Lytechinus pictus: one gene and its partner. The protein of the gene in region 1 binds, or shares a complex with, the protein of each later gene. Links are inferred from orthologs where the notes say so. Each region holds a gene or a part of one and is shown on either strand. Other genes may lie near its edges.

Region 1 (11,130 bases):
GAGGCGTTCTCTTATTTGCAATGCTGTCTGGTGTTGCCATAACTCTCTTCTGTCTTGCCTTTGGGCCAGGGGTATATGCATCAAGCAAATCATCAGACTCATCATCATCATCAAGCCTGGTATTTTTGTATTTCCTGGTTAAGGAAGAAATCTTAAAGGAATTATTACATGCATCTTGTCCAAAATGCTACAATACTATGCTAATATTAGAGGATGAGAAGCTTGTGCTTGCAAGGTATAGTTAAAATCTCAATAACTCTACATTAATAGTGCCAGGAGAAACAGACATCACTAACATATTCAAAATCCAGAAACAAACTAACAAAGGCTGTTATTAATTTTTTTACATTAATATATATATATGTCTTTCTGAAGTGGCAGAATAAAAAATTTCAATTCCATCCATGATAATACATTGAATATTTTTTAATTGACGAAAAAAGCATTATTGCAATTTGCATAGGAATAATTTTATATAACTTAAAAATTATATATTACCTATGCTATAAAGTAGGGCAAGCTCACAACACAATGTCACAAGCAAATTTTATTAATTTTTAATCCCAGCAATTCACAATAAGGAAATTCTCTTATACACTGTACAAGGTAATATGGATTTTTTTACAGTAGAAAAACATTTTCCCATAAACAGTCAAACTAATTTACCAATCACCTGTACACAAGAAGCATAGAACTCAAATTTGATTTCCATTGAATTAATTTCCATATTTAAACATGTATTACAGAAACCTGGTCAATGGTCATGAAAAAACTGTTCTTATCGATCCCTTACGTGGTCTTTATAGACAGGTTCTACTGTATCTTAGTTTTGTTCTTGATATCTGAAATATTGATAACAAAAATCAGACAGACATTATTTAAGAAGGATACATTGAGAATGATGTTTTCCTGGCAGCTTGCTTCTGGCTTGAAGGGGTCTTGACTTTAGAGCTCTTTTTGGTCAGTGCCTGGAGGTAGAACAAAAGTCATAATACCGGTAATAATATTCTTATCTACCCAGGGTAACTACTCTCAGCTTTAAGCTGTGCTTCCAGCGGGACCGGCATAACATAACATGATATTATCATTATAAACAACTTTTATAAAAAGATAATATTGGAAAAATTTTGGAAAGACCAATCCCAAAATTTTTGAAGAAAAAAGAGAAAACAAACATTCCATACAATCTTATGCAAGCAATTTTTTTTTTTTGGGGGGGGGGGCTACTTTTCACAACTTACTGCCTAAAATCTACAACACTGGATATTGCTTTCACATCATGATGAACTGGAATCTACAACATTGGATATTGCTTTCACATCGTGATGAACTGGAATCTACAACATTGGATATTGCTTTCACATCGAGATGAACTGGAATCTACAACATTGGATATTGCTTTCACATCATGATGAACTGAAATCAACAACACTGGATATTGCTTTCACATCGTGATGAACTGGAATCTACAACATTGGATATTGCTTTCACATCATGATGAACTGGAATCTACAACATTGAATATTGCTTTCACATCGTGATGAACTGGAATCTACAACATTGGATATTGCTTTCACATCGAGATGAACTGGAATGTCCAGGGCTCCTTGCTTTGTTTCCAGCGCTCTTTTGAACATTTCTTGGGCTAAATCACCCCAAGTCCCCTTGTAATTCTTCCCCAGCCCTTATGCATACATTTTCGCTTTCTTTTTTCAACCTGTATAATGGATGAACATCAGTTTAAGGAGAAAGGGTTATAAATCTCCAAGTCCATTGAATACCATGGCTGTCCTGTGGATTCCTTGTTGACTGGCCTTGATGCCCCTCTCATGTGCCTTGGAGATTTTTGTGCTCTTGTTTTTGTTTCTCCCATTTGTGCTGTAACATATAAATACGTGCCCAATGGAAAAGTGGCCTTGCCTTAAACATATCAAATGTAACTTTTAAGGTATGTATTTTTATCTTTACAATGTATTAATTTCACAATTATATAGGCCTACCTCAATCATAATTATCATACTGATAATTTCTCTGATTTTCCACATTTAAAACATGTGGAACAAGCAAGAATGTTCTCTTGAGGTTCTTACAAGATCAGATGATCATAATTATCAAAACTATCTATCTGAGTCCGGTTTGCAGATGAAAAAAAGTACACCACCAAATTGATATGAGTTTGAATTAATTTTTTTAATTGTTTCATTCATGATTCATTGCCTTAATTTTTTTAGTGATGAACGAGGTGTTTCTCACGTAACAAATAGCCAGGGATTTTCACTTTCCCTCGGCTTCGTTATAAGGTACCACATCCTTGCATCTCATTGACTAAGAGCAAATTAAGTCACGGACAAAATTTTTCATGAAATGCTCCCCTGGGCTCAGGACTCATCCGTGTAATACTAGGCAGACATGGGTATTCTCCAAAATGGTGGTATGGGGTCGCACCAGCACTCCAAATAAATCTGGGAAAAATGAATTATGCACTTACCTCGATTATATGGATGAAGGTCTATTGTGACACAGAATAAGGACATCAAGGAACAAACTGGACCCTCAAAAAAAGGAAAAGTAGCGTTCGTTCTCAGTATCGATCGGCCATTTTGTTTTCAATTTTGAAAGAACGAACGTGACAGAACTTTTCCTTTTTTTGAGGGTCCAGTTTGTGCATCGATGTCAGGATTCTGTGTCACGATAGACCTTCATCCATATAATCGAGGTAAGTGCATTAATTATTTTTTCCCCTTTTATTTGGAGTGCTATTGCGACCCCATTCTATCCCATTTTGGAGAGTACCCGTTGCCTAATATTACACAGACGAGTCCTGGGCTCCCTGGGTTAGCTCCCCTGGAGATGTCAATAGAAACTATTCAGTTAACAGTTTATACATTTACCATCTGGTCGTTGATAATAGAAACGTTCCCAGGGCCCTGTTGCATAAAAAGTTTCTATTAAGATAACTTTGCCATCCAATGGTAACTACCATGGTAACGATGATCAACAACCAATCGGAATCAAGTATTCCATACAAGTTACCATTGCATGGCAAAGTCACCAAAATGGAAACTTTTATGCAACGGTTCCCTGATCTAGTGCGGGACTTTTTTAACTGAATTCCTTTTGTACCTTCTTTATTTCATTCATTCATTCATTTATTTCGGTTTATTGTACAAAATACTTCCTTGTTAAAACAGTCGGTAGACTGATACAAACAAAAATTACAATGTAAACATAAATTTCATAGAACTTTACATTTATAAGTGAAATGAAATAGTCAAATAATATAAAGTAACAATTAATTAATTGATGTTGGTATATTGCACTTACAAGGTAATTATAGATGAGAGCACGTTACAAAATAAATTCCAAAGATATTTATAAATAAAAGCTATAATATGGTAATGCTAACTGAAATACATGCACTAAATTCAATAAACAAATCTATAAGTTGTGAAGAAGGTTGAGATTGGGATATGAAATTAAATCGCAAAGTGGAAGGTTCATATTGAGAAATAAATATGGAATTATGTTTTTAAAATATAATTTTAAGGCTAGTGTAAGACATCTGACATACGGAAAATAAGGCATAGAGCACTGTAAATTGTTTTATTATAGATTATATTATTATCACTGTATATAAAAATATTGTCGCTACATGAGTAAAAATGCAAAACTGAAAAGTAGAGTAGAAAAACGTTAAGAACAAGTAGACTAGCCACACCCTAAATGCATTTCAGCAATCCGTACCTCTCTCTCAAGTTGCTCTAGTGTATCGATGTTAATTGCCAGTCCACTGTGAGTTGTAGAAAATGCAATCCACTCGGCCACTGCATCCTCTGCTGTCAGGCGGTATAATAAACATAATTCTTTCACTGTAACAAAAAGAAAGAAGAAAACAGACATAAAATGTCATCATAACAGCCATTTTTTACATTCAATTAGCAACATAATTATTTTGGCGAGGGGAAATTCATAGATCTAGAATACGTAACAATCTACTTTTTTTTTCTCTGCAAAATGAAAATTTGTTAGATGTCTACTTTTACAACATACTACATAGTCTACATTATGCATGTTAAGCCATCATCTTGAAATTAGTGCTCCTTCTACATCATGCATTTCATAAAATAAGTTTCATCTAACGTTAAAAGAACATGCTTCAAACACAAGAACAAGACACAGATTTATAAATTTATGATTTTTTAATTTCTTGAAAATTTTGCATCTGGATTGAACAACCATGACAACAATGCAATTCTCATTTATTATATAATCTAGTTAATACATGTAAATTCGATAACAATTCATTTGCACATTAATGATCGAGTGGTGGAATTACATGCCTAATCGTTCAAAGGAATGTAAGTTAGATTTCTAACAAAACTCACACTTGTCAACAATGTCAGGATCATTGGTGTCCAACGTTACTCCAAACGTTTCAAACTGTTCAGAGAGGTCATCTTCACTGACACTGACAGAAGCCATGATGGACTATCGAGACCAAGTTACTTGAGTCTATGAATTAAAATTTTGACTGTTTCACAGATTCAAAGTTCAACTTAAAATTTGGCCAAGATCTCACTACAATTATAGAGAGAGAGAGAGTTGAGTTGAACTTGAAGGATGACTTAGGGCAGGCCTAGTAATTACTAAATACTAGTATCGATCTCCCGTAGGTAGTAGAACAGGTTCAAATATTTGCAGCACGAGCCACGAGTTTAATCTCAATTCAGTCAAGCCAAGGGCAACTTCTTAATTTAACTCCAGTAGTCTGCGGAGTATGCCAGTGAATACAGCAAACAAAGACGAATTAATACCAAAAATTTCGAGCTAAAATTACAACCCCTGCAAAACTGAACAGGTAGACTGAATACGTATCACTATCAAGCATCGGCGAATACGATCGATTCAGCGGACCAGCGTACAGTGCACACTAGGCGCTAGGCCAGCGCAGCCCGGCCCCGTGAGCTGCTGCAAAGATGACACTGTCTGCGATCTTCGCGCTTGTTAGATTTCCCGCGTTGAGTTTCAAGTTGATCTACTTCCGGTACCGGTACCGAACATAAGAATAAAAATTAAAAATTAAAAAATTAAAAAAAATGAAAAGGCAATGCAGTCAACGTTGCTGCCATTTTTGCCCGGCATTTTTGTGTGGTAGTGAGGTTCGGTGGATGCGGTAGAGGCTGTGGTGGGTGGTGGTGGTGCTGGTGGTGGTGTGGAGGTGGTCGCGGTGGTGATGATGGTAGAGGCGGTGTGGTGGTATATAGCGTATATATATAGACATGGTGGTGGTCGGTGGGGTGGTGGTGGTGGGGTGGTGGTGGTGGTGGTGTGGTGGTGGGGTGGTGGTGGTGATGGTGTGGTGGCCGGTGGTGGTGGTATAGAGGTGGTGGCGGTCGGTGGTGATGATGATGGTAGAGGCCGTGGTGGGTGGTACTGGTATAGCGTATATAGACAGGGTGGGGTGGTGCTGGTGCTGGTGATGGCGGCAGTGGTGTTTATTGTTGTTTTTGTTAGCTCCATTCCCGCGAGTTCCACTTTCACTTTATGACGTAATCATCACTTCTACTTCAAGGAGACTTGTCTGGGAGATTAATTCTGTTTTGTTTTTATTATATTTTTCTTGGGGGTGTATGTTTCTCCATAAGAGCCAATTTGCTTTTTTTAGAGTCAGACCACAGGAGTGTTTCGTGAATCTTGTCAGTATAATTTCCCACTGACATAATATTCTATGTCAGTCAGATGCAAATATTTTATTTTAGTACCTTATATAGCACTCAGTGAAAATTTGAACTGACTAAAAGTTTTATGAAATGCATTCATTCATTTACCTAGGGTAGCCTTGACGGTATTGAACAGTACGTTACGTATCAAAGACTGAAAATAATATAATTTAAACAGATAAAATAAAATCAAGCAAATTAAAACACGGGAGGAATCATCAAAATCGGACAAGGAATAAGAAAAATATGATATTTTAAATTTGTGCACTATTTCGATGAAACAGTTCTTTGCATGTCTTAATCATGAATATGCAACTATGCAAGGCAAGCTGATGATCCCCAGAGGCGGAGCTAGCGCAATCACCCACACCAGAAAGAAAGAAAAGGTGAACAATTGGTTGATAAGTTAATAGAAAGGTGTGTAGAACCACTATTCCTGGTATAATTTAACATTCTTATGTAGGAATATGAATCATCGATTTCATTTTCTGGCCCTACTGATGGAATTATCTGTCAATTGATATTCGAAACATCCCAGACGCAAAATATTTAGCAAATTGTTAAAAATAATGCTGCTCGAGGAATTTGACATTTGTATATTAAGCTGCCAAAAATAAATCTCCGATCTTATCGGAGGAAGAACACAGAGGAGAGAGAGTATAGCGATTTTGTGATCTGTTCAGATGTATTTTTTTGTATTCAGTGTAAATACAACCGTTAAAGAGGTCTGCAGTTATAAGAAGACTTAATAATTAAGTTAAAGTACAAGCACTGGCGTACAAATAGAGAGGAATTGGGGGCCATGGACCCCCAAAATTTTCACGACCAAGAAAAAAAAAGAGAAAAGGAAAGAAAATTGATGAGAGAAGAGTGAAATATATCATTTTCTAAATGTTATGTCAAAACCTTTAACAAAAATAAAGTTTTTAATTAAAAAAATGTCGGAATTTTTGCTCACTCGCTTCGCTCGCAATTTTCCGTTGTGCCAAATCAGGCCCCTTAAAATATTTGGCTCATTTTGCCACTGTGTACAAGTATTTTTATTTAGGTTAAGGTTTTGTTAATAAACCTCGGTTAGAATTTTGCTATTTATGGTTCTTGTTCATGTGTGATGTACTGTTAAATGCAAATATGATACCGTGAGATTTGGTAATGAAGTTTAGTATGCCATCTTCTTTTTTAAAACGATGACACTTCATTCTGAGATGATGTTAAGGAAACTGAAAAAGTTCAATTTACCTTTGAAGGATTTGGTGACAATATATGGGTTATATATGACCAATTTTAGAATATTGTGCTCCAGTTTTCCATAGCAGTCTTACAGCAAAACAAAATAATACTATTGAAAGAATACAACGTAGAGTATGTAAAATTATCTTAGGACATAATTACATCACATACACAAATGCATGTCAGGTATGTAATTTACCAACACTTGAGGAGAGAAGACTGACACTGTGTAAAAAGTTTGCAAAATCACTTTCAACTCATCATTTGTGTAAGACATGGCTACCTCGGAAAAAACATACAAACATATCTCTTCGTCGTACAAACTACTATCAACAATTTCCAATAAGAACAACAAGATTTAAAAACAGTCAATTGCCTTTTTTGGTTGACATATATACTCAACAAAGGATGAGTGTGTCGACTAGGAAAGGCAATGCAAAATGGTCATCCCCACCCCACCATACAATTATTTTTGTCATTTAAATAAGTGTCAGTCTCCTCTCCTTCAAGTCTGCCATTATCATATTGTATTCATTCATTCATTCATTCATTCATTGCCTTTTATGCTTTATTTAAATTGTATTAACTTTTGAATGTATAGCCTTTTTAATGTATTTTACTGTGGTTTTTACTATGTATTTAATAATGTGCCAACACCAACTTGTAAACATGATATTTCCAGCTCTTGCTGTTTTTTCATGTATGATTGTTAACATGTTTGATTATCAATAAAGACCATTTTTGAATTGAATTGAATTGAAAATGAGATATTGGAGCTCGGTTTAGTATAACCTTATTTCTTTTTAACATACTTTATTTCTGTTAATATTTTGTTTTTCTCAAGCATCGTTGATGCATTTATGTAACGGAATCCAATAGTTTTATCGAAGTAGTATGCAGCGTGGTTACTACCGATTTTTATTTTATTTTATTTTTTTACCTTTTTTTTGTTATTCTTTTTTTTTTTAGTTTGTGTTTTTTTTTTTTTTGGGGGGGGGGTATATAGCAAAGAAGTGTGAAATTTTCATTGCAATTTGTAAATATTTTGCTTTGCTGTTTGTGGATAGGCCGGGCGGTACATGCCCCCCCCCCCCCGCAATACTTGGTGTAATGAGTAACAATGTGCAATGTACTAGTACAATTACGACATCCAAAATTAAATTGTTTGATAAACTAAGACTGCATGCAAAAAAATGGATCACATCTAGTAAAACTCACTAAATTTTGTCTAATTTATAGATAAGCTATATCCGAGTTTCATCTAATATCCTCTTGGTCTAACATCACTTTAAAATAGTTAGATCGGCCTCCCAACTCCTCGGACGAACAATGAAAATGAAATAAATTTTAATTTGTCATAATAAAAATCAATAAGTGTAGACGAATTGGTCATTGGACCAACTGGGCATTAGACAAAGTAAGTATTGGACCAAGTATTATAGCTGTTTAGTCCAATATGAAACACGGAGTTATTTACTAGTACTTTATTTAATACTCTGATAAAACATAAACAGCGCCCCCTTTTCCCATGAACAATATAGTACTTGCTGACAAGCACGTAATTGTTGTTGCTGAAAATGCCAAAAGGTATGATAGTACGGAGATTTTTCTTCAAAAAAGGAAGAAAAGAATAAGAAAGATCAAGAGAATTAAAAATAAATAAAATAAATTAAGGATTTTTTTCTATTTCGTCTCACTTCAAAATGTCTCATGCTATTGCCCCCCCCCCCTCAAATCCATTCATCATTTTCTGTTCCTTTATCTTAACTTCCTTTCTCTCTCTTTTGATAGTGTCTAGCTTTGGTGAATTTGTAACAAGAAATATGTATTGAGGGTCAAAGAAATCTTAGTTCCCTGCTTACCTTTAAAATGAATTAGGTTGTATTTTGTTTTATTTTTTAAGGAAATATATCATCATCATATAATCATTTTTTTCCTCCAAATTCTCTCTTTCACCCTCTCTCCTTCACCCCCCCCCTCTCTCTCTCTCTCCTTATTAACTATTTCTATCAATGTTCTGTCTCTTAAGTTACTGCTATATATCCATTACACACTAACACACTTCACATCAAATAACATTGGTATCACAAAATAACTCAAATTTAAATTCTTCGTCTCTTTTTATTCATAACTTCTTTTACTGGTGGCAAAAACAAAACAAAATAATAATAATATTCAGGATAAATAATCAACAAAACAGTGATAAAATTTTGAATAATTCAAACACTCTATAGATAAAATATAGAGTGGATACATTTATATAAAAGGTGAATTATTTCAAAATCCTTCCCTTCAATATACTAATCTTTGAGGATAATTATTGAGAATAATTAGAGTGCAATACTATTTTTGTTTCTTCAAGAATAAAACCAACCCTACATCCTTTATTCAGGTGAAGTCAAAAAGTGCAGTCAACTGTGCATAAGATGACCTCCCAGTCTTCCATGAGAAAAATATTACATTGAAACATATTCCAGATGAGCAGCTAGCTTCATAAAACCTGTTATTACAAGAATATTGCAACGATAGTTGAAATCAACTGATATCATTCAATTTGGCTGGCTGACAATAACATGTTTTTTTTAACTATTCTGCATTTTTTACATTTATAACTCTTTATCAAGCAGAAACCAGAATTATACAAGCATTTGTTATTTACCTCTTTGAAGTTAAATGTTCCTCCCACCCCCAGTTGAAAAGGTTTTCAATGGTCCTGAGATACATATATTTGCCTTTGGCAGATACGTCTGTGCCTCAATTTTCCACAATAATTAATAACAACAAAGTAATTGAGAGACACATACTTCATGAACATTTCTAATACAATACATACTATGAAATGTCTTTGCCTTTGATAAAACCTGGATATGGACAAGATTATTAATTACAGGTTTTAGAAGATACTGAATACATGCCTGAAATGCAATTTATTTTACTGCAAATAAATGCATTTTTATATATATATGTACACTATATACATTATTTACATGATTGACAAGAACACGATCAAATATTTACTCTTGCTCATTGGTTTCGTTTCTTTTGGTAGTTTTTCTTTTTTGCTCAGTGTTTATGTGTTGCTTGAGAAGTCTGCTATTTAAAAAAAAAAATGAAAAAAAAATTATATACAAGACATTTTTTTTTGAAAGATTACATTTGTACCCAAACATATATTACAAGATTACAGAAAATATCTGAATTCCAATAAATGTTTTTTCCATGCATATGACTGAAACGTTATTCTTTTTTCACACACATTTCCAAAGACTAATAATACTTCTCTCAGTTTCAACATTCACACATCATAGCAATGTGATATACATGTACATTTACCAATTCCTTCATATTCTGACCACATCACAATCTCAATTCTCCTACGTACAAGCACAACAGAACTGCAATTCTTATCCATCAAGTGTTGAAGCATTGCATAATACCTATTTAACTGCAACAAAACATGTCTGTACAACAAGTTGTCTAATACATGTACATTTTACTGAGCAAAGGCATTACACTAACATTACTTCAACATCAAGACAATACAATAAGAAATTATCAGAATATGTCATCCATCCTTTTACGATAAAATCAAAAGTTTGGATGTCTTCCTTCTTTCTTCTTTGTCTTCCTTTTTTCTTCTTCCTGCCGTTTCGCTGCAATCCCCTGGACTTAAAGCCCTTTCCAGTTTCTTCACTTAACATCAACATACCACAGCTATCTCACTTCATGTCATGTAACATGTATCCATGATAAATGGTCCGGTTGCACGCTCTTTCTTCATAAAGGAGACGCTGTCCTGCAACATCTCCCCTTGCGGAGACAGTTTGTTCATTTGCCTTCATCATCACTCTACCCATGAAAGGACAAAGAGAATGTCTTCAGTAGAAATAATCTGTAGTGTCATATTCATGTCCTTGTGAGAGCAGTGACTTGAGCGATGGGATGTTGGTCAACTCATACGCGCACTGCCCCTCAAAGTTCTGGACCTGGGTGTCTGCCCGCGCCCCATGGAGCAGGCATGCAATGTCCTCATGGCCCCTCCCTGCTGCCAGGTGGAGGGGTGTGCAGAGGTCGAAGGTCACCGCATCAACATCAGCGTGCAGTTCGCAGAGGAGACACTGGACCAAGTGGAAGTCGTTCATTTCGACTGCGTAGTGGAGACTGGTGCGACCGCTCTTTC
Region 2 (11,117 bases), on another chromosome or scaffold:
CGGTGTACAATTGATTGAAAGTCTTTAAGATTTCAGAAGATGTAAAATTGGATTACAATGGATTGCAAGTTTCTTGCAAATACGGTACCTCTCTCTTGACCGATTGATCGAGAGAGATAAAAAATAAAAATAAATAAAAGCATAGCTAAGCTAGCCAAGCACTAGTAACACGAGCTGTTTACGTAAGTTCATGGGCGCCCTCGTGCACGTTTGTATTAGTTTACAAAGAATTGGAAGAAATACAAAAACAGAAGAAAATAACATGGAGATATACAAGAAAAAATTGACTGTATCATTATCCTGGTATTTCTTTCAATTTTGATTACTTTATAGACGAGGTCCCATAGAATTGAATATTGTAATTATGATTGTTGTGAGTTGCCGTGTCGACCGACCTGGACTGAAAAACAACATTGCCGATCTTTGCTGGGCAGCCTGGGCTAGCTAGCGCGCGCTGAGCTGCGGCTCCAATCAGAGGAGTTAATTGCGTAATGCTTTCAATTTCGAGATCAGAGCGGACCCATTTCGTGGTACAAAGTCACCCCAAAAAACATTTTCTCTCCGGAATAAAAGGCGAATTTGCAAATTGTAAGTTTGTAAGCTCTAGGCTAGGTTAGTAGTTGGCATATATTTTCCTGATTTGAGCCTGTATAAGTGTAGGGATTGCAGAAATAATATTTTTCATTTTTCAAAGATAAATTGACTTGCGGGTTAAAACCCGACGGGTCAGCGGGTACCGCTTGCAAATTATTGGATTATACGGGACTGTACGGTTCGGGTTTTCACTTGCGGGTTACAACATTAGCAGATATTATGTATGTAACTAGGCTTATTTCAACAAGTACCAAGAAAAGTTCAATTATAAAAGCACACTTTTGAAAAGGGCCCTAAATTAATGCTTGAATGAAGTCTGATAATAGAAGAAATCTACTTAGTCCACTGTTTTGTAACATGGTACAACTGAAACCACCTTTGTGAATATGAGACTAGAAACTCACTCTACAGATGGATGTAGCTGCTCTGGAAGACTGACTTTCTTCACCTGATTTTCTCCTCCCTGAACAAATAAACAGAAAATCAACTTTGTCCATAACTCAGCTCTAAATCTCCAATATTCTAATTTACAAATTGTCATTATCAAGCTGTTTCTAATCTAACTTCAAAGATCTTATACTCTGAATTGTTACCCTTTTAACCGTCAATACATTGAGCGGATGTGAGCTTCTAATTCAAATGATGGCCCTTATAATGCATCACATATTTAACCTACAAAACCATATAAAATCTGTATTATTCCAAATGAAGAATAAGTAAAAAAAGAAATGAACATTACTGTGGAGATAAATAGTTACAATACAAACATGATGGGCATCACATGAGTATCGACAGTTCTCGCTTAGAGAATAGTGATATATTATCACATGAAAAAAAAAAATGTGGTGTCATGGCTGGTCTGCATAATAAATTCCTCACAGAATTCATACTAAAATAATTGGAACCCTCCTACAGTCAGAATATTCATATACTATATAAAGCAATTAGATACTTATAATATCAACATTACCATATGCAAATTTATTCTCTATTTATAGGTAGCTAATGATTACCTTGACAATGCTGAGATACTCTGCGATTGCTGACCGTGCATTCTGAGATAGTTTTCTAGCAGCCTCATCGCACACCCAACAATGAACACCACGTCGCCCTGAGTAGACCCACAAACGATGCTCAAAACCAAAGTCATCTGCACAAATGATCAATTCAAAAGTTTTTGCTTGAATTTATCAGCTCATAATGTTATATTGTTGAATTATTCAAGGGCACAGCCATATTTCATCTGTTTGTAAATTTTATTAATTTAGTCATTTGTCAAATTCTTCAGTGTAGCACAATTTCTTGTCCAACCGTAGACAAATAAAATAGTCAATTAAGAATTAAAAACAGTTTGGATATGTACACAATCAAGTCAAATTACTTTTTTTTTCTTTTACTTTATTATTTATAATTATATTGCAATGAATCAATTGAAATGATAATTGCTGATGGATCCTTGTTACATTTGTTTCGCCAAATTAACTGTTGCCAGTATCAGTTGTATACTTTTAATTCATGTTTCTTTTAATATTCTTATACTGACCTGGATGGAGGTAAAGGGGTGAGGGAAGGAAGACCTGTGGGTCGTGGTAATTTAGTTAACCTTTTCCAAACCCAGGCAGCCCCTTTATCTCTATTCCAGGTCCTTTGTATTATGTCACGTATTTTATGTAATTTGTATTGTACTATAATTCATGTATTTTGAAATGCCGAATAAATAATAATAATAATAAATTGTAATCACTCCACCGGTCTGTCGGAGTTATAGTGCAATCTTGGGGTGAGAAATGGTAGTAAACACATACAGCATCATAATAGGCCGATATATTAAAGCAAGAATTTTGACAAGTACTGCATGGTACTCTTATGTCCAAAGTCCCACTTGGTTGATGATATTACATGGAACTTAAGAAATTTAGTTCTTAAACTGATAAAATGTATTTCATCAGTTCATCGATCTACCAGTCTGCAGAAAATGGCACTGGTGACTGGCAACATCAGTCGGTTCAACCCGGCCCTAGTTTCTTAATGCTCGATGCTTGTTCCAAGAATTTGGGATTTATTTCACTCAAAATATTAATGTTAGCTGTCATATTCTTGTGAAATATACATCCACATTGTATTTCAAAATATCTATAGAGGTCATACCATAGAGGGCACTGTCCACAATCTTTATTGCAATCGTCATCAGGGGCCAACATTTGGAGCATATATCTGCACCTCTGTAATGAGTAGACAATAATATTGAAATAAAGATAAAACAGTTGTAAAAGTTATTATATTCTTTGATACATATCAAATCTTCTCATCAAGCAACTAAAAGATAAATACCGGTATCTCCTACGTGCTTATGCCATTATGCCTCTGCAAATTTTCGTATACATCTGTATGTCAAATGATCATTGTAAACTTTTGACCTGAACATAGCAAAATAATCACTTATAGTGTTGCAAACTTGTTGTAATCATTTCACGATACTCTTTCCTCTTTTCCTATCATTTTATACCAACAACATTCATATAAATTCTTATAGAGAACTAGGATGCAAAAAGGGGAGCCGCCCACGAAACTAAAAGAAGGAATTTATTTACCGCCATTTTTGTAGAAATAATCTATTCTGTGGTGCACTAGAATTATCATCCCTGGTTTACCTCGAGCTGCCACTTCCAGGGTCAGTGCCAGATACCCATTCACGTCATCACGGTTGAGTGCAACACAATGTAAATAACAACACACCATGGTTGGGATTTGAATCCACAACCCTCTGTCTGAAAGTCACAACCACCAGACCACAACAAGCCTATGGGAGATAAATCAAAATATGCCCCTTATTTCAGGAGCAATCACTATACATTTTATTTCACTTACTGGCAACAACTCCTGACATCATCATAATCCGTCATATCAATATCAAAGACAAGCTCTTTCTCCTGGGCTTGAAATGCAGCCGCCTTTAACGTCCGATGATCTTTGGGCTAAAAAGTTCAGAAATGAAGGATATAAAGAGAGTATAATTCAAGGAATTAAAAAGAGGTCTCATCTGCAATCTTACCCCCCCCCTTATCAAATCTATTTTCCTGCCAATCCTGTCATGAAATAATCAGATGAATTGTTTTCCCTCAACACAATTATAGAATTCATAAACTGGTAGGTTGTGAAAAATGTTAGTGGTACAGTGGATTTGAAATAAAAAAGCAAGTCGAACATTGTGAAATAATGAGAACTAGTTGATAATCGAGTATGCTGAAAATCACCAAACAAATGATCTTCAATTACAGCTGAATATGCTGACATGTATGTTTCCACTAAATGTATTTCTGGTGGTTAAAAGTTGCAGTAAAATTTTTATCATTCCACAATCAAAATGATTTGCATATTTCTTTATATTATTTATTCAATATCATGCATTTACATTTGTTTAATGCCACTGAACTTCTGTAGTTTTGTATTAAATTCAATAAAAATCCCATGGAAGCACATTGTATGATACATGCACATTGAGATAATGGTATTCAAAATACTAGATTTATCTTCTATATCTTGATTAATTTTCACCACCACAAACATCTTTCTTTGTGAAAAGGTTAAACAGGTTTTAAAATGGCCCTACGTAAAATACCTTGTGCGTGAATACAGCGCCGATATCAATCTTGTATGGACATCTTTTCTGTATCTCTTTCTCCAATTCATTCTGGTCACTGAACGATTGGTAGCGGATGTAGATGTCGTTCTCAAGAGTGAAGGAAAACTCACGATTCAAAAAGTAGCTCTTTGGAACTGTATGGACAAATTGCATTAAGATTTAGGTTGAAACATTGAAAATGCAAAAGAGGAGGGAAATAATGCAATTGTCAATGGTCCGATCAGCTTAACAAACAAAGCATTGCATGGTTTAAATTGTCTGGCTGGCAATGGGCCAAACAATTGGACATAATAAATTTGTGTTTGCTAACTAATCTTATTTTTTCTTTTTAGCTGCATGTTCAACGATTCTTTCCAATATTATGCTCGTTCGTATCAAGTTCTATCGATGCGCCGTCGATGTTCGTCGACGGCTCTAACATTATACAGTAAACCTCGCGGACGGTAACTTGAGAACTAGTAGTCGACGATCACCCACAATCTGTAGAGGCGCACGGCCCAGATGGGAGACTCTCTCCAATATGGAAGACAATCTCCCATGTTGGAGACTTGCTTTGCAAAAGGACAAAAGAAACAACACCAACAAAAGCATGATTTTTTCCACCCAAAATTTTGTCTCACTGAGGTCAGAAGCCCATTTGTTTTGTGTGTGAATGACAACAAAAATCCTTATCAAAACAAAAGTAGACGGTGAATTTTTAAAGTAGACGTTGAAAAGGGGTAATTTTTCATGAGGAATCTGCTTATCACATTTTTATTTGCCGCCAAGGTAATCCTTTTGCAGCAAATGTAAACAAAGGAAGTTGGTCTCCCAAACTGGAGACTGTCTCTGAAATTGGATACCCAAATTCTTTACGAAAGTCTCTGATATTGGAGTAATCTCCCACATGGGAGACAGTCTCCCATATTAGCCTTGCGCCTCTACTGACCACCCATGGGTGCATCTCTGCCGCCGTGTACAGGAAAATTGAGGCACGGCGCATTCAACAATTCAACAAACTCCTGCAAATCTAATAAGAGGATTTACAGAATGAAATCCTCCTACGAAACTTACCAAACGATGTGAAGTCAATTCCTCCTAATATGGTGATTATCCCTCAAAAAGCATCATTTAAGCGTTAATTTTTCTTCTCATTGACCACAAAATACAAAGCAACCTTGCGAGTTGTCAAATTTTTCGTCTAATGAGCGAAAGAGGGCGCGCGATTTATCTTCGTATCAAAGACACTACAAGGGAAAGACTAGACACAAAAACTATCTTACACGTAAATCGATGCAAAGCGTTACGCGAAGTTGGCAAAGTGTCTGAGCTTTTTACTGTAAAGACTTTGGTGGAACGTTAATTGACAAACGAACGGTAGCACTTGCGAGGCTTTGTTCAAGGTACGTAGAATTTTCTATATTTTTTGTTTAATTTGTCATCGCTTTGAATATTTTCCAAAACGTATTATCGTCAGCAAAAATAATAAAAAAGTATGTTTTTTAAGTTATTGCATTTATTGGTGTCTCTATTATATCAAACAATCATTGGAATTGCGCATACCATGAATAAAAAATCTATTTAAAAAATACCGTCAAGCTGAATTAAGGTTGTGAATTGTATTAGCGCCACCAACGACCTTCCTTTTATTTCCGTCAAAGAGACATGCAAAGCAACTTTCCAGGCCGAGGTAAGCAATTTTGCTCTTTTTTTGCATGCTTTTTCCATGAATAAAATTTGTAAAATTGAAAATGGAACGCTTTTCACCAGAAAAAGCCCTGGTGAGTAGCGGAATGAGTTTCGGCTAACATTATTCGCGTTATGAAGCGATGTTAACCGGCAACTCTAAAATCCATACTGTAAACACGTACGTGGTGACGGTGGTGCGAGGTTCATATAAGTACATACTATAAACCTCGCAATACGTGTGAGTGTCTACTGACATTAGTCAACACACCCCACCAGTTCAACATTCGATCGAAGGAGCGGATGAGATTGAAATTCGGCAAATCAGGCCCATATTTCCATCAGAAAATATATCAATTGTTAATGCAAAACTGTTATATGATATTTTAAGCATTTTCTGTCATTTTAGAGATAAATAAGGTAAAACTAAAAATTAAACTATCAAGTAGGCCCCTAAACTAAAAAAGTAAAACTAAAAAGTTGGATTTTTTCGCCTTGTCTTTGCAATCTTGTTCTATGGGCATAATCGTGATATAGTCCCCAAATCCAAAAATGGGGATTATTAGAATCACACCTACCAGAACGCATGAAAATCACTTCCTTTCTCCAGAACACAGTCCCCAACTCTCTCACAGCTCGAGAACTTGCGAAATGATAACACACACAAATGAAACACACACTTGGATTCTCTCCCTATTATATACTTGTGATACAGTCCCCACTCTACGGGAAATCAAGTTCACTTTGCACGCAGTGGGGATAGCTCCAACAGTATATATACTCGTGATACCGTCCCCTCACAACATAAAATCGTGCTCGTTCGACAAGGGGATGGGGACAGTTTCCCAGTGCAACGTGACAAGGAGGACTCATTCAAAACCTTCGGGAATTATTATTATTATTGTCATTATCATATTATATTATCATTATTATCATTTTATCATTATATTATTATTGTTATTTAATCATAATTATAATTATTATTGTTATTATCATTATTAATATTATTGTTATTTAATCATAATTATCATTATTATTATTGCTATTATCATTATTATTATTATTATTAATATCATTATTATTTTTACTATCATCATCATATATCATTATTTTTTTATTATTTTTGTTGTTATTATTATTATTATAATGATAATGATAATATCATAAATTATTATATTATCATTATTATTATTATTCTTTATCATTGAAAATGTGCCCCTTCCATCCATTCTGTTCCTTGTATTTCATTTAATTCCTTCAAATGAAATCACTGTAGACTCATAATAACGTTTGGGTATTAATTATTATCATAATTATTATCATCATTGGCATCATTTTCATTTTTGTTGTCGTTATTATTGAAAGAGTCACCCCAAAACATTAAAGTAATCAATACAAATATGTGACGGAAATGAAAATAAAGTAATGATAACAACAATAGTATAATGATGGTGATGATGATAATAAAGATTAATAACAATAATGATGTTGATAATAATTATGATAAAGGTTAATATAATGTTAATAATAGAGAATAATAACAATAATAATAATTATTGTAAAATAATCAATAAAAGATAAATAATGTTAACAAAAAATAAGGATAACAATATTAGGTAAATAATAAATAAATACCATAAAAAATAATGACAATAATGATGATAATAATTACGATAATACCCAAAAGTTATGAATGAGTCTATACAGTGATTTAATTTGAAGGAATTAAATGAAATACAAGGAACGGACTGGATTGAAGGGGCACATTTCCAATGATAAAGAATAATAATGATAATAATAATATAATAATTTATTATACTATTATCACTGTTATGATGATAATAATAACAACAACAATAAAGAATAATATTTATTATGATGATAGTAATAATAATAAAATAAATAATAATAATGATAATTATGATTAAATAACAATAATAATAATTATGATAAAATAATAATAATGATAAAATGATAATATAATATGATGATGACAATAATAATAATAATAATTCCCGAAGGTTTTGAATGAGTCTTCCTTGTCACGTTGCACTGGGAAACTGTCCCCATCCCCTTGTCGAACGAGCACGATTTTATGTTGTGAGGGGACGGTATCACGAGTATATACTGTTGGAGCTATCCCCACTGCGTGCAAAGTGAACTGTGTATCCCATAGCGCGGGGACTGTATCACGAGTATACTATACTGTTGAAACTGTCCCCACCGCCGTGAAAATCAAACTTGTTTTCCCGCAGAGTGGGGACTGTATCACGAGTATATAATAGGGAGAGAACCAAAGTGTAAGTGTGTTTCATTTGTGTGTGTTATCATTTCGCAAGTTCTCGAGCTGTGCGAATCTAATAATCCCCATTTTTGGATTTGGGGACGGCCAAATTCGCTATTGTGCCCAAGCGCCATTAAAACTGCTCAGCCCAGTGAAAATTCTTATCGCTAGACGTGCGTAAGAGCATGTGCGACCGGTGTCACACATGACCGCACAATAACAAAGCTCAGTCAGCGGGATATCGGCGTTCAGTGAAGTGGCGTGTTAATGGGTATTTCAGCTGTGCGAGAGAGGGGCGGGGATTAGGGATTGGGGGGGGGTGAAGGGGCACTAAAATATATGAAATCGGCGGGTTTTCAATAAAATACTATGTGCATCGTATTTTCGTTTTCTTTTTGTGTTTTCTGTATGATACATGGTTGGTAGATTTATTCCTCATTCATTCATTCCATCCAATTTATTCATCATACTGTGCATTTCATTTCATATTATATTATATTACGTAACACTGTTTTACTAACCTTATTTTTTCTGTCCATGATGGGGATCGAACTCGAACCTTCTGATCTGCAGTCCAGCATCGTAGTCAGCATGCCACATGAGATGAGCTGACAGCCGAAACTGGTTTAGCGCTCAAGTCGTACGGAGGTTTCCCCGGCGGCAGTTATAGCAGGCCAGGGAATCAACGATCAGTGATTTAATTCATTAGAAAATATATATATTGGTACCAATAATTCCAAACAGGATTTTGTTATTTTTTTCACTTCGTTTATATTATCGCTATGTATTTTAACACGATGTGCGTTTACTATTGAGTATATTGAGTCACCTGAAATAACACCCGGAACATTTCTCTGTTTAGGCAACAGGGGGCCTAAACATGGAACAAAAAACTCACGCAACTAGTTTGCACTTGATGTTCGTAGTCGGCGTGTAGGCCTAAAACTTTATTTTAACATATATATAGCTTCCTTTTTTTCATTCTAAACTCCCAAGTTATCCCCTCTACAGCAAACCTCATGTCGATATCGGTCCGCCAATATACGATCTTCTCGGATATTTTCAAATAAATGTGGCATTTTGGTAGGCACGGCAAAATTGAAAAAAAAAGTATGCACAAGAAATTGTAAATAATTTCATATACTCACTTTTGCGTTATCCTTCTTGGTTATATATAAATGCCCCGTTATATTGAATTTTAACCTCCTTCACTCCTTCCGCCAAAATATTCCAAGTCAACAAATTTCCTCATTTTTTTTTCGCCCGGCAAGCTCATCAATCATCTCTCTCAAACCTTTCTTTCTTCACTCTAATCCTCTCAAACCATCCTCACTCTAATCCTCTGCGAAAAGTTGCGCCCTCCATGTCAATCGTGCCCCACTGACATCAAGATGTGTCTTGCCGCATCTCGCACATAATGCATAAACTTTTATGCATGATTTTATATATTCATGAACTTTCACTTCATGCTGTATTTTTATGTTGTTTCCCAATTTTCCTCCTTCGCAATATTGCTTTATTCCGTAATTGTTAAACTCTATATAGGGCATTTTATTATGTCCAACATTTTTGCGTATCTTTTCTACTCTTCCATCGTCACCCTATCATAAATGGATTTTGTCAATGTTAGCTTATTTTTATTTTCCTCAAGAAAGAGCAAGACGAACTTTTAATGGTACAGATGTATATTTCAAAGGTGATTAGCTGCAAATATACGGAATAATGGAAAAACATATGTTAAAACGCAATTTGAATTTTTTGATGGGCAAATTGATTAAGGTGCTAGTATAGTGACAAACTTCACTAAATACGGGATAAAGCTTATAGAGAAAACTTGGTGAGCATAGGGACGAATCAACCGAGATTCTAATAATTACTATTGACCGGAGGGCGGGAAAAGTGGTGTTCTGGGTTTGAAATGTCTGGCTGGGCGGGGGGTAGAGCGAAGGAAAAGTATATAAGGCAACAAAAATGGGAGGCATATTCGGGTGTTAGTATAAAATCTTCAACAAAATACGTAAAAACCGATATAGTAAAGTTGAAACGCAATAATATATATATTTTTTTTTGGGGGGGGGGCATAATTATTTAGGTGCTAATAAAGAGTGACAATTAAGCTTCACCAAAATACGGAATAAAGTAATAAAGAAAAGTTTGTGGGCATAAAGTACTAAGTGATGATCGAGCCAAGATTCTTAATTCTCTATTGCTTTAGTCCGTATCAATTTGATGCAGTATAGAGTGACTGCATAAAAAATATACAGAATAAAGCAATACAGAAATGTTGGCATATTAAGGTGCTGGTATAAAGTGACAAACTTATCAAAATACGGAATAAAGCGATATAGAAAATTTTGAACACAATTTAATTTTCTGTGGGTATATTAAGGTACTAGTATAGAGTGACAAACTTCATAAATATACGGAATAAAGAAATATAGAAAAGTTGGTGGGCATATTAAGTTGCTAGTATACAGGCCCAAATTTCTTGAAATATGGAATAAAGCAAGAGAGAAATGTTCTCATTTAATTGATTCCTCAAAAATGGAATATGTTATTTTTATACAATTGTTTTACTAGTGATGATTCTGATTTTAATGTTATTGATATCGAATTCATTCACTATTTGTATAGAACCTTAGTTGCACTTTTATCTTTTTGTATATATTGTTATTTCATTTTAACAGGACCATGTTTAAAAACAGTGAATCTGAGCTTGTTATCCTGTATAAAGATATTTAAATAAATAAATAAATTTGTTATGTTTGTTTATAGTCTTCATTCTTTATGGTGTATATTGCTTTATTACGTGTCTCTGTGTCTTTTTTTTTCTTTTTTTTCATCTGTTCATGATTTTATTTATTCATGAACTTTCACTTTATGCTGTATTTTTATGTTGTTTCTCAATTTTCCTCCTTCGCGTTATTGCTT

The links.
Region 2: DNA polymerase alpha subunit B-like (region 1) and DNA primase small subunit-like share a complex: the UniProt entries of both Homo sapiens proteins name them as parts of the alpha DNA polymerase complex. The link is inferred for Lytechinus pictus from reciprocal best matches to the Homo sapiens genes POLA2 and PRIM1.

What each region holds. Positions count from the first base shown.
Region 1 is NC_087251.1:49,041,247-49,052,376, forward strand, and holds the start of DNA polymerase alpha subunit B-like, read right to left. Parts: upstream 5,491-11,130; 5' UTR 4,483-5,490; coding exon 4,386-4,482; intron 3,870-4,385; coding exon 3,745-3,869; intron 969-3,744; coding exon 892-968; intron 117-891; coding exon 1-116. Other genes in the region: NF-kappa-B inhibitor epsilon-like, read right to left, coding at 10,829-11,130. UniProt on the Homo sapiens protein: Accessory subunit of the DNA polymerase alpha complex (also known as the alpha DNA polymerase-primase complex) which plays an essential role in the initiation of DNA synthesis.
Region 2 is NC_087245.1:19,761,049-19,772,165, forward strand, and holds the start of DNA primase small subunit-like, read right to left. Parts: upstream 4,406-11,117; 5' UTR 4,391-4,405; coding exon 4,214-4,390; intron 3,570-4,213; coding exon 3,463-3,569; intron 2,817-3,462; coding exon 2,743-2,816; intron 1,745-2,742; coding exon 1,608-1,744; intron 1,058-1,607; coding exon 999-1,057; intron 1-998. UniProt on the Homo sapiens protein: Catalytic subunit of the DNA primase complex and component of the DNA polymerase alpha complex (also known as the alpha DNA polymerase-primase complex - primosome/replisome) which play an essential role in the initiation of DNA synthesis.